Oryza sativa Japonica Group: one gene and its partners. The protein of the gene in region 1 interacts with the protein of each later gene in a pairwise test. Links are inferred from orthologs where the notes say so. Each region holds a gene or a part of one and is shown in the gene's direction. Other genes may lie near its edges.

What was found. The genes of interacting proteins can lie anywhere in the genome.
Region 2: the proteins of mitochondrial import inner membrane translocase subunit TIM17-2 (region 1) and probable esterase D14L interact in binary tests that used the Arabidopsis thaliana proteins (3 or more experiments, as listed by UniProt). The link is inferred for Oryza sativa Japonica Group from reciprocal best matches to the Arabidopsis thaliana genes TIM17-2 and KAI2.
Region 3: the proteins of mitochondrial import inner membrane translocase subunit TIM17-2 (region 1) and F-box/LRR-repeat MAX2 homolog interact in binary tests that used the Arabidopsis thaliana proteins (3 or more experiments, as listed by UniProt). The link is inferred for Oryza sativa Japonica Group from reciprocal best matches to the Arabidopsis thaliana genes TIM17-2 and MAX2.

The regions. Positions count from the first base shown.
Region 1 is NC_089041.1:24,985,613-24,989,594, reverse strand, and holds the start of mitochondrial import inner membrane translocase subunit TIM17-2, read left to right. Parts: upstream 1-1,176; 5' UTR 1,177-1,278; coding exon 1,279-1,950; 3' UTR 1,951-1,958; intron 1,959-2,360; coding exon of another isoform or gene 2,361-2,864; intron 2,865-3,982. Other genes in the region: mitochondrial import inner membrane translocase subunit TIM17-2, read left to right, coding at 2,361-2,864. UniProt on the Arabidopsis thaliana protein: Essential component of the TIM17:23 complex, a complex that mediates the translocation of transit peptide-containing proteins across the mitochondrial inner membrane. Links the inner and outer membranes.
Region 2 is NC_089037.1:18,910,947-18,915,002, reverse strand, and holds the start of probable esterase D14L, read left to right. Parts: upstream 1-1,246; 5' UTR 1,247-1,398; coding exon 1,399-1,769; intron 1,770-4,056.
Region 3 is NC_089040.1:2,939,695-2,943,848, forward strand, and holds F-box/LRR-repeat MAX2 homolog, read left to right. Parts: upstream 1-1,344; 5' UTR 1,345-1,354; coding exon 1,355-3,517; 3' UTR 3,518-4,087; downstream 4,088-4,154. Other genes in the region: probable thiol methyltransferase 2, read right to left, coding at 251-404. UniProt on the Arabidopsis thaliana protein: Component of SCF(ASK-cullin-F-box) E3 ubiquitin ligase complexes, which may mediate the ubiquitination and subsequent proteasomal degradation of target proteins. Promotes the senescence. Is necessary for responses to strigolactones and karrikins.

The DNA.
Region 1 (3,982 bases):
TTAATTGAGCATGGGGGCATCCAGAGTTCAGACAGATTACAAGTCCAACAGCGAGCATGAACACACGCGCGCCTAAAAGGAATAAGTTCATTTTAGGCTACCCATATTTATGTCGAGTTTAAATCATGTACTTGAAGCATAATATCAAATATAACGTGTCCCTTAATAACTTGCTACACCAAATTACCCCGAGGTCGCAGGCGATATTTTGCCTGGTTTTAACTGACGTGATGAGTTGACCGCGGTGAATCTGACTGACTGAATTGTTTCTAGGAGGAGATGATTGTGGGTGGGTGTGAATTCCGGTTTTGAGGCCTTGTTTAGTTAGCGAAAAGAAAATTTTTGAGTGTCACATCAGACGTTTAACCAGATGTAGGAAGGGGTTTTTGGACACGAATGAAAAAAAAATAATTTCATAACTCACTTGGAAACCACGAGACGATTTTATTAAGCCTAATTAATCCGTCTTTAGCACATGCGGGTTACCGTAGCACTTATATCTAATTATGGACTAATTAGGCTCAAAAGATTTGTCTCGCGATTTCCATACAAACTGTGCAATTAGTTTTTCATTTTATCTATATGTAATACTTCAAAAATTCGATGAGATGTTTTTGGGAAAAAAAATTAGGAACTAAACAAGGTCGGAACATTCTGAAATGGGATGATAACTTGATAAGCTTGCTGGTCATATGGCAGGTCATCCAGCTCGCCGTGATGCCGTGAAGTAATGATCGATCACATGGCACTTCCAACTCAGATCTGAGTAGTTTTAATTGAATCATGGATATCCAGCATTTCCCGTTTTCACTTTGCACGATTCAGACATCGATATCCAGTAGGGCTTCACCTACATAGCTTAGTGGGCTCAAATCTCGCTCACTCAACCTTGGGCTGAAACTGATGCTATTCGCTCTCTATTTGGGCTGAAATTAGCGCTCTAACTCTGAAGTTGGGCTGAATTCCGTACCTGGGCCTACATCCAGAGGCCTCTCACGCGCGCGCCGGCCGCCGAAAATATCTCCCACCGTTCGGCCGCACCACCGCCTCCACCTCGCGGGGAACCGGGAACGTGTCTATGACAGTGGGCCCCACCAATCATCGGGGCCCACTCGCAGCGAGAGAAGCCGCCTCCGACACGCACCGAATAAATAAAGACACGAGAGAAGAGTGAGAGAAGGAGAAATCCAAGCTCGCTTTGACGAAGCCCTCCTCCTCCCATTTCTCCTCCCCGAGCTAGGGTTTCGCCGCCGCCGCCGCCGACTAGCCGGAGTTGCCATGGGGACGCCGGAGACGTCGAGGGAGCCGTGCCCGGACCGGATCCTGGACGACGTGGGCGGGGCGTTCGGGATGGGCGCGGTGGGGGGCTCCCTCTTCCACTTCCTCAAGGGCACCTACAACTCCCCCAACGGCGAGCGCCTCGTCGGCGGCGCGCAGGCGGTGCGGATGAACGCGCCCCGCGTCGGCGGCAGCTTCGCGGTGTGGGGCGGCCTCTTCTCCGCCTTCGACTGCACCATGGTCTTCATGCGCCAGAAGGAGGACCCCTGGAACTCCATCATCGCCGGCGCCGCCACCGGCGGCTTCCTCTCCATGCGCCAGGGCCCCGGCGCCGCCGGCCGCTCCGCGCTCATGGGCGGGATGCTGCTCGCCCTCATCGAGGGCGCGGGCCTCATGCTCAACCGCGTCCTCGCCACGCCCCCGCCGCTCCCCGTCGATGACCCCAACCTCCCCGCCGTCATGGGCGGCGGCGGCGGGATCCCCGGGATCCCGCAGGTCCCCGTGGCGCCACCTGAGGTCGCGAGCTCCAGCGGCGGTGGGAGTGGATGGTTCGGGAGCCTGTTCGGCAAGAAGGAGGAGGAGAAGAAGGCGAGCCCGAGCGGCGGCAAGTCGGAGATGTTGGAGAGCTTCGACACGCCGAGCACTCCGATCCCAACCTTCGAGTACAAGTGAAGAAGAAGGTGAGCGACATAAGAAAGTTTTCGATCTTCAATTCATATCCGATTCGATATCCTCGCGTTTTGTTTCCTTTATTTTTGTTCGATTCGGCTCGGATTTAGGGAGTTCGTGTTCGTGCCGCGGAAGGATACGCGTGTTCCGTCTCTGATTTGTTTTTATTTATTTATTTATTTATTTATACCTCGTGTCCAGCAAGAAGGTTAGTAGTTTCCTATATCCGAGGAAGCAATTTGGTCGCGCTATATATCTTCTCTGGTGTTTCGGCGCGTAGGTTTGAGCCCTAGAGAGTTGTTCGCTCGCGTTCTCCAATTGATTCCTTTGTCCTCGACGAGTCGACGAGCAAGCAATCGATTCCTCCGGTGGAGCTATCCGGGTTAACTACAATGCATCAGGCTCGTCCTTCAATGGAAAGGGATCCATGCCCAGATCGCATCCTTGATGATATTGGTGCGTCTTTTGGCATGGGTGCAGTGGGAGGTTCTTTCTTCCACTTCGTCAAGGGTCTCCGCAACTCGCCCAGTGGTGCACGGTTTGCTGGCGGCATGGAGGGTGTGCGGATGAATGCGCCACGTGTTGCCGGTGGCTTTGCTGTTTGGTGTGGCCTCTTCTCAGCTTGTGATTGTGCCCTAGTTTCTGTGCGTCAAAAGGAGGACCCCTATAATTCCATCATTGCTGGTGCGGCCACCGGCGGCATTCTTGCTGCTCGTCAGGGCTTACGTGCGGTTGCTCGTGCATCCCTGCAAGGCGCGGTTCTCTTAGCCCTTGTTAGTAGTTTTGGGATCATGATGAATAGATTACCTGATGCTGGATCAATGCCAGTCAACAAGACTGAGACTTGTAAGGAGCCACAAATGCCAGAGACTTTTGATGTGCCTAGCACACCACCACCATCGTTTGAGTACAAGTAGAATCCTGTAAGGGGATCTCTCAGCTGATGGGCTTTATTTTACTACTGTTGATGCTCCTCTGTTCAGGCATATCTCTTTTTTAAGTGCCTTTCGGGTGGTTGTTGCCCAATCTTGAAAATAAGGACACAGTAAGGTAGATGCAAAACATATTTTCTATGTGGAATTGTGCTATACGTTTGTTTGTGATGTACACAAGAACTATAAGAGTCCATCTTTCACCTTTTCTTGTTTGTCCTTAGTTGGATGTACTGTTTAATGATGCATTCGCTGTGATGTTTGTCCTGGCCCTTTTTTGTTAATATTTAGCGAAGTTCTTAGGTGCACCATGAGGTCAAGTGAATTTAATGGCCCCCGTTGTTTTGAAGCTATAGTTATAAATGGAGGTTTATGTTACGACTTATTATTACACTCGAGCACAATTGTTTGTTTTCTGCTTCTACTGCTCTACAAAATTCTGTTAGTTGCTGAAATCTAGAAGGATGTGTTCTAGACTTCTATGCATGAAAAGGAACCTTTTGTTGTGTAATTCAATTGATATTTTAGTTGCTTGAAGCATTAGTTTGTTGTAGAAGGTCTTACTTCTTGAAGTTAGCATGTGTTGCAGGCCCATGTTCATCTGGAAGTTGGGCTGATTTGTATTTGTGATGAGTTTTATTTTACATGTCCATCTGGAAGTTGGGCTGATTTACTTCTTTAAGGTGCATGTTAGAACACGTGTGCAAAATCAAAGCTAAGCCATCTACTAGTAAAATCAACGTAAGGAGGATGCGACCTCACAAGTGAGCAAGATGAGAGGTAAGGTGAAAAGAAGGGAAATAATAAATTCTGGGAAGGCAGCCTCCAAGGCCCAAACAGCCTACAAGAGGGAGGACAGTTCTCCTGTCCTCCCACAGCGCTAACGCCATCTTTGTCATCCCTGCAACTCACCCTCTTGCTGTTGCTTCTCTGTCCCTCATTAGCTCCTCCACTGCTCTTCCCCTGCTGCCTTCTTTTGTTCCCATTCATGGAGCTAAAGGCTGCTGTTACTTCTCTATTCTTTTTTTTCCTTTGTCATGTTCTTCTCGATGTGATATTTTCTGCCAGGCACCAACAAGTGCTAAGCTGGCGTCACCTTTCTT
Region 2 (4,056 bases), on another chromosome or scaffold:
CCTAGGCAAAAACATTTTAAATTTTTATAATAGGTAAAGATATATTATAATAAAAAAACAAGGTGAAAGATATTTTTAAAGACCATGTCAGTGTTTAAAATGTCAAGAATTATGAAATCGAAGGGAGTATCAAAGTAGGATATTTTTTATAACATCATCCTCTTAATCATAGCTTCGTTTGTTTCAATGATAAAGAAGATATACTCTCATTTTTCAAGCACACGCTTACTAAACGGCTAAACAGCATGTGCATTTTTAAAAATAAGTTATAACAAAGTTGCTTTAAAAACATATTAATCTATTTTTAAGTTTAAATAATTAATACTCAATTAATTATGCTCTAATATCTCGCCTCATGTTACGTATCTTCTTAATCTTTCTTTCCTCTTCTCTCAAATACACCGTAAAGCCGGAGCGGTGTCCAGTATCCCGAACCCTCTGGCCGTCCACTGTTCCTCGCCGGTGCACTGGCTGACGTCGCCATCTCCTCCCCCGACATCGCAGCATCGCTCTCCACTCCGGCCGCTCCTCGGTTTCGTCCGAAATATATATTCCAAGAAATGATTGTAAAAGTAAAATCTAGCCTACGTATTGCAAGATTTGATGCAATAGTTAATACTCCACAAACTAACAATAAATCTCAGTTTGTTCTGAAAACACAAATTAACTTATGAAAGTTCACCACAGAATTTCTTCCATAAAAATTTATTTATGGTAAAAGGCATACTAGTAATTGCCATACCCCTCTGTTCTAATTAGAACCGGCACTAATCAAATCCAAATTCTGACCTTAAAAAATTATAAATACTTTATATTATATTATCGCAGTAGGTTGTAGAGTCATAAGTACAACAATAAAACTTTAATTCATTATATAATTTAAACGTAATTTGTGGTCACAGTGTCAATTATTCGATGGGTGGGAATATTTATTTAACATTTGATAAACAAATAAATTAATTAATAAATACTCTCATGGGTTAAGCTTGCAGTTGGATATACGATTTCAATATACTCGTGGAGGGCACATGCGGTAGATATTACGGACTCGCGACCCTCATTAATAACAGAGAGAAATATGGTTACTTAAAAGTTCAGCCCCACCCTCATCGAGGAGCTAGTATGGACCCACCGTTTAGCGACAGGCGAGGGTGGAACCCCGCGTGGCGAGAGCGTTGCGGTTGGCAGATTCCGGTCCACACCAACGCCCCCCGCCCTTAAAACCCCCACCACCCGATTTCCCACTAGCCAAGGCAGCCAGCCGCCCGGCCTCCCGCCGCCTCTGCTGTCTCAGTCCCGAGTCGCGAGTCGCAACGCCACCACGAGGAGCCGAGGAGGAGGAGGAGGAGGAAGAAGAGGTGTTGTCCGGGCGTGAGGAGGATCGGAGGAAGGGAAGCTATGGGGATCGTGGAGGAGGCGCACAACCTGCGGGTGGTGGGGGAGGGGAAGCGCGGGGTGATCGTGCTGGCGCACGGGTTCGGGACGGACCAGTCGGTGTGGAAGCACCTGGTGCCGCACCTGGTGGCCGACTACCGCGTGGTGCTCTTCGACACCATGGGGGCGGGGCCGACCAACCCGGACTACTTCGACTTCTCCCGCTACGCCACCCTCGAGGGCTACGCGCTCGACCTCCTCGCCATCCTCCAGGAGCTCCGCGTCGCCTCCTGCATCTACGTCGGCCACTCCGTCTCCGCCGTCATCGGCGCCATCGCCTCCATCTCCCGCCCCGACCTCTTCTCCAAGCTCGTCCTCCTCTCCGCCTCGCCTCGGTACTATTCTATTCTACTACTGCGTCTTCACCAAGCAGCATACGAGTATCTCATACTACTCTTTATTACTCTCCCTTATATGGATTGGGGAATAAATAGGAGTATTGGACTTTAATTTAATTTTGGTGGTGATGAATTCGGCTAAAAACAGCTCCCCGAATGGGTACTAGTACCGAGGTACGTCACGAGGAAATTTTTTGTCGATTTTGGGGGCAGATGGCGGCTTTTGTCTTCATAGAGGAATCAGCTGTCGATTTGCGGGGCTTGTCGTCATGGGGGAAATTGGAGACTCGCAGGGGGAATTGGTTGGACGCTTGGACTAGGATTCCTTATGTAGATGCCTCTCCATCAGCATGGGGCTTATGGCTCGTTTAATTCACTGCAGCCAGGGTGAGAATAGGGGATCTTGCTTCAAAGGGGTGCCTGATTTCTACTGACAAATTAACAACTTTCGTGCTACTGGTAATCTAGGCATCTCCAATTGGTACTTACCCTTGATTTAACTATGGACGGGTGGGGCGTTGGCTGTATAGAACCTCCAAATCTCAAATTAGATAGCTGTATTGTCAAGACAGACAACTTGCAAGGTGTACTGCTGTATGTGATTAGCTACTCCTACTCTACATAATTGAATTCTTTTGCCTCTAGTTTGAGATTGATCTTCTCCGTTATCACTAAAATATACTGAGCTGAAATAATATCAAGATTGAGCTTCACTCAAGAGAAGATAACAAGATTGGCAATACATTCTTGATTGGGTTTTAGAATCAGCTGATTAGAGGAATCAGTTCTAGGCAGGTAATGTACATGCCAGAATGTTTTGCAGCCATTTGTTGCCAAAACAAGACAAGGACTAACACTCTTCAACACTCCAAGGTGTAAAAGAACTGAGAGCTTGCAATTTTTTTTTTTGATAAAGGAAGCTTTTTACTAATCTCAGATGATTACATCAAGTTGATAGAACCATACTAAGAAAACTTCTGGCCTTTGCATAACTAGGATGCACACAGCCAAAACACACACGAGCCCACAAAAGACCTTGTAACAAGAGAAGGAAAGCAGTAAAATTTAGGGAGCACCAATCTTCAGGCTAGACCAAGCTTACAAAGTTAAATTGAAAAGAAAAACACTAGAAACTTGCCAGAAGCTGGATTCGTGGATGATTCCACGATTTGAGTGGAAAATAAGTTTCTGTTCTCATCAAATTTAACCTATTTGATATTTTGAGCAGCAGTTATTGTAACATATTAGTCGGGCCTCACCCATGGGTGATGTGTTTTGGGATTTGTTGATCCCTCCTTTGTAAATATTTATTTCTTCTTACTGAAATGAAGCGCAGTTCTCCTGCGTTTTTGAAAAAAAATAGTAACATACTACTCCCTCCGTCCCAAAATAAGTGTAGTTTTGCACTATTCACGTTCAACGTTTGACCGTTCGTCTTATTTGAAATTTTTTTATGATTAGTATTTTTATTACTATTAGATGATAAAACATGAATAGTACTTTATGTGTGACTAAATATTTTCAAATTTTTCACAAATTTTTCAAATATAAGACAGACGGTCAAACGTTGGGCACGGATATCCACGGCTGCACTTATTTTGGGACGGAGGTAGTACAAAAATACAATACTCCCTCTGTCCCAAAATATAACAACTTTTAGCCCTCAAGATTTGTCCCAAAATATAACAACTTTTCCACCAACATTCTCTTCCTAACCTATCACAACCCTCCACCATTCACTTCTACCTACTTTCTTAATAACCGTGTCCAACTCTAAAACTTCTTATATTTGGGGACGAAGGGAGTATGTTTGAGATAGACTCCTAGTGGATTCTGGTACCATGTAATTAGTACTACTAAATTCCATTCCCTTAGGTGTTTATGCAGATTGAAAACATTAATTCAAGCACGACCACAAATAGTAGAGAGCATCTGGATAGTACCAACCACATATTATCATGCTAATGCCAACAGCCCACTCAACAGCTATGCGATAAAGGGGAAAAAAAGAAAAACAAAAAGCAACAGCTATGCGATAAAGGTGCTGAAACATGGTAGTGCCCTTCGATGTATATATTTGGTGAGATTTGCTATGCTATAGCTTTGCACATTTCTTCGCTTATTATGGTGCAAGTGTCATGTCCCAATTGGTCCTATCTTTCAAACCAAAAGGGGAAAATGACCCTATCTTTCCATTTCTGGATATTTCCTTGCTGGAAACCAACACTGTTCCAAAAGCCATGCCTTGCTGGAGGCCATAACTGAGTTGCTTAAAGTGCAGCGT
Region 3 (4,154 bases), on another chromosome or scaffold:
CCCTTTCTACTGCCTCATTTTTCCTCCTCTTCAACACTAGGCCAAACAAATTTCCCCAACTACTCGCCCCCAACTCAATGATCCAATCCGCCCACACCCACCACCACCCGCACATGCGATACCATGACCCAAACCTATAAACCCCCCCCCCCCCCCCCCCTCTCCTCAATTCCAACTCCCCCAAGTCCCCAACCAACAACCACCAGAGAGAGACAGAGAGAGCGAGGGGGAGAGCCCGATCCATCCTCACCTGCCGCGTCCCCGCGCTGCACGAGCTCCCGCAGCCTCCCCACCGCCGGGTTATTGCTCGGGTCCCTTCCGCCGCCGCCGCCCACCCTCGCCGCCGACGAGCTCATCGACGCGAAGAACCCGAAGCCGAGGCGAGAGCGAGGCAGCGCGTGCATACGGCTCGTAATAATAATGATAATGACTAATTACTCCTCCGTTTCATACAGGTTCATATTATAAATGGAATGATTTTTTTAGTGAAATTTTATTAAGTTTGATCAAATTTATAGAAAAGATTTAGTAATATATAAAATATTAAATTGGTTTTATTAAATCTTATATTGAATATGTTTTAATAATGTGTTTGTTTTGGGTTAAAAACCATACTATATTTTTTATAATCTTATCAACCAACATTAACTTAGAAAAAGAGTCAAATACTCCCTTCGTTTAAAGTCAAACAACTTAAAGTTTAACCAAGTTTATAGAAAAAAATAGTAACATATTTAACCCAAGACAATTTATTATGAAAATATATTCAATTATTGATTTGGCTAAACTAATTTAGTATTATAAATATTACTATATTTGTCTATAAATATAGTCAAACTTTTGTAACCTGAAATAACCTGTACTCCCTCCGTCTCATTTCAAGTGCAGCCATGGTTTTCCGAGCCCAGCTTTGATTTCGTTTTATTTAAAAAAATTTAAAATCATAAGTCACGAGTAAAGTACTATTCATGTTTTATCATCTCATAATAATAAAAATATTAATTATAAAAAAAAATAAATAACACGAACGATCAAATTGAGCGTGGAAAGTTGCACTTAAAATGGAACGGATGGAGTATTGTGAAACGGAGGGTACTGTTAAAAAAGGAAAAGGTGAGGGTGTAATTATAAAAGTGGAAACGAAACGAGACGAAATAATTTAATCCGAAGGGGATAAGAGGATAAAATTATCAAAAAAATAAAAAGAAGGAAAAAAAAAAGGGAGAGCTGTCGAGTATATCACTTCGCTGTGTGGCTTCTCGTCCCCACTCGCTTCACCCCAAATCCCTCAACGGCAGCAAGAGAGAGAAAGAAGAGAGAGAGAGAGAGAGAGAGAGAGGAGTAGACGTCGCCCATGGCGGAAGAGGAGGAGGTGGAGGAGGGGAGGTCCTCGTCGTCGGCGATACTGGACCTGCCGGAGCCGCTGCTGCTGCACATCCTGAGCTTCCTGACGGACGTGAGGTCTCGGCACAGGGCGGCGCTGGCGTGCGGGAGGATGCGGGCGGCGGAGCGGGCGACGAGGTCGGAGCTCTCGCTGAGGGGCGACCCGAGGTCGCCGGGGTTCCTGTTCCTCTCGCACGCGTTCCGCTTCCCGGCGCTGGAACACCTCGACCTCTCGCTCGTCTCGCCGTGGGGGCATCCGCTTCTCTCCTCCGTGCCGCCCTGCGGCGGCGGCGGCGGCGGCGCGCCCTCGGCGTCGTCGTCGTCGGGGATGAACGTGTACCACCCCGAGGCGATCTCCGAGCAGAACGCCTTCATCGCCGCCCGCCTCGCGGGCTGCTTCCCGGCGGTGACCTCGCTCGCCGTCTACTGCCGCGACCCCACCACGCTCGCCAACCTCACCCCGCACTGGCAGGCCTCCCTCCGCCGCGTCAAGCTCGTGCGCTGGCACCAGCGCCCGCCCACCCTCCCCGACGGCGCGGATCTCGAGCCGCTGCTGGAGACCTGCGCCGCGCTCCGGGAGCTCGACCTGTCGGAGTTCTACTGCTGGACCGAGGACGTCGTGAGGGCGCTCACCACGCACCCTTCCGCCACCGCGGCGCTCACCCACCTCGACCTCGGCCTCGCCGCCGCCACCGACGGCTTCAAATCCTCCGAGCTTGGGCCAATCGCGGCCTCCTGCCCCAACCTCCGCAAGCTCGTGGCGCCATGCTTGTTCAACCCACGGTTCAGCGATTGCGTCGGCGACGACGCGCTGCTCTCGCTGGCCACCAGCTGCCCGCGGCTGACCGTCTTGCGGCTCAGCGAGCCGTTCGAGGCTGCGGCCAACATCCAGAGGGAGGAGGCGGCCATCACCGTTGCGGGGCTAGTCGCCTTCTTCGCGGCGCTCCCCGCGCTGGAGGATTTCACCATGGATCTCCAGCACAATGTGCTGGAGGCCGCGCCCGCGATGGAGGCGCTTGCCCGAAGGTGCCCGCGGATCAAGTTCTTGACCCTGGGTTCCTTCCAGGGGCTGTGTAAGGCCTCTTGGTTGCATCTTGATGGTGTTGCGGTGTGCGGTGGGCTGGAGTCACTTTACATGAAGAATTGCCAGGATCTCACGGATGCCAGCCTTGCGGCAATTGGCCGTGGGTGCCGGAGGCTTGCTAAGTTCGGCATCCATGGCTGTGACCTTGTCACTTCGGCTGGGATCAGGAGGCTTGCATTCACGCTTCGGCCTACTCTCAAGGAAGTCACTGTCTTGCACTGCCGGCTTCTGCACACTGCAGAATGTCTCACTGCTCTAAGTCCGATCCGTGATCGCATTGAAAGTCTTGAGATCAACTGTGTCTGGAACACAACCGAACAACCCTGCAGTGTTGCAAATGGCACCACCACCGAATGCGATCCTGAGGATGATGAGCTTGGTGAAGTGTACGAGTCTGCAGCCAAGAAATGTAGGTACATGGAATTTGATGATCTTGGAAGCTGGGAGATGCTCAGGTCACTCTCCCTATGGTTCTCTGCTGGCCAGCTTCTCTCTCCGCTCATTTCTGCTGGTCTCGATAGCTGTCCCGTGCTTGAGGAGATCTCAATTAAGGTGGAGGGTGATTGCCGGACATGCCCACGACCTGCTCCAAGAACAATTTTTGGCTTAAGTGATCTTGCAGGCTTCCCAGTATTAGCCAAGATGAAATTGGACCTCAGTGAAGCTGTGGGTTATGCACTTACTGCACCAACAGGGCAGATGGATCTTTCACTATGGGAGCGATTTTATTTGCATGGTATCGAATCACTGCAGACTTTGTATGAATTGGACTACTGGCCGCCCCAAGACAAGGATGTGCACCACCGGAGCCTGACATTGCCAGCCGTGGGATTGATCCAACGCTGCGTTGGACTCAGGAAGCTTTTCATCCATGGCACCACACATGAGCACTTCATGACCTTCTTCCTTTCAATTCCAAACTTGCGGGACATGCAGTTGCGGGAGGACTATTATCCAGCCCCAGAGAATGATCTGATGTTCACAGAGATGCGGGCTGAATCTTGGCTTAGGTTTGAGGTGCAACTGAACAGCCGGCAAATTGATGATTAGTTATGTGGGCACAAAATGGTTTGAAGCTGAATACAGAGATTTATCTGGATGGTGCCATTGCTCCACTGTGCAATGGCAGGGGATTCCTGGTGAGTTGGTTATGATTATGGGTGGAGTCGTGTGTATTGCTGCAGTGCCATTGAGGAGAGTAGTATACTGGCAGCACTTGGATCTGTCAGCAAAGTAACCTTCTCCAGTTGCTTTTTTACCCCCTTTTTGATGTAATAAGAGAGTTGGGTCGGAAATGAGATATTTGCAGGAGATAAGATTATAAATTAGGCTTCATGGAAAATTTTCCAAGAAAAAAAAACATTTTGTTTTTAAGATGGTCTGAGTTGTGAACACCGGCAAGAGTAATTGGCAAATTGGCATGGTTCTAGCGGTTTGTAACATTTGAACTCTGTAAACAAAAGAAAAACGCCACTCGCTTTTCTTATGCCCTTTGCTTCATGGGTGAAAGTGGCTCATCTAATATTGGTCAGTGTTTTACTGTTTTCAATGGATGGGCAACGGAGTTCAGTACTACTGCGATAGGAAACTATTTTGATGTGTACATAACAGCTCTATTAATCCAAAATTATGTGCCTTTGCTCTTTGAGTTTATTTCTGTCCCTTTCCTTTTCCATTTCATGCACAG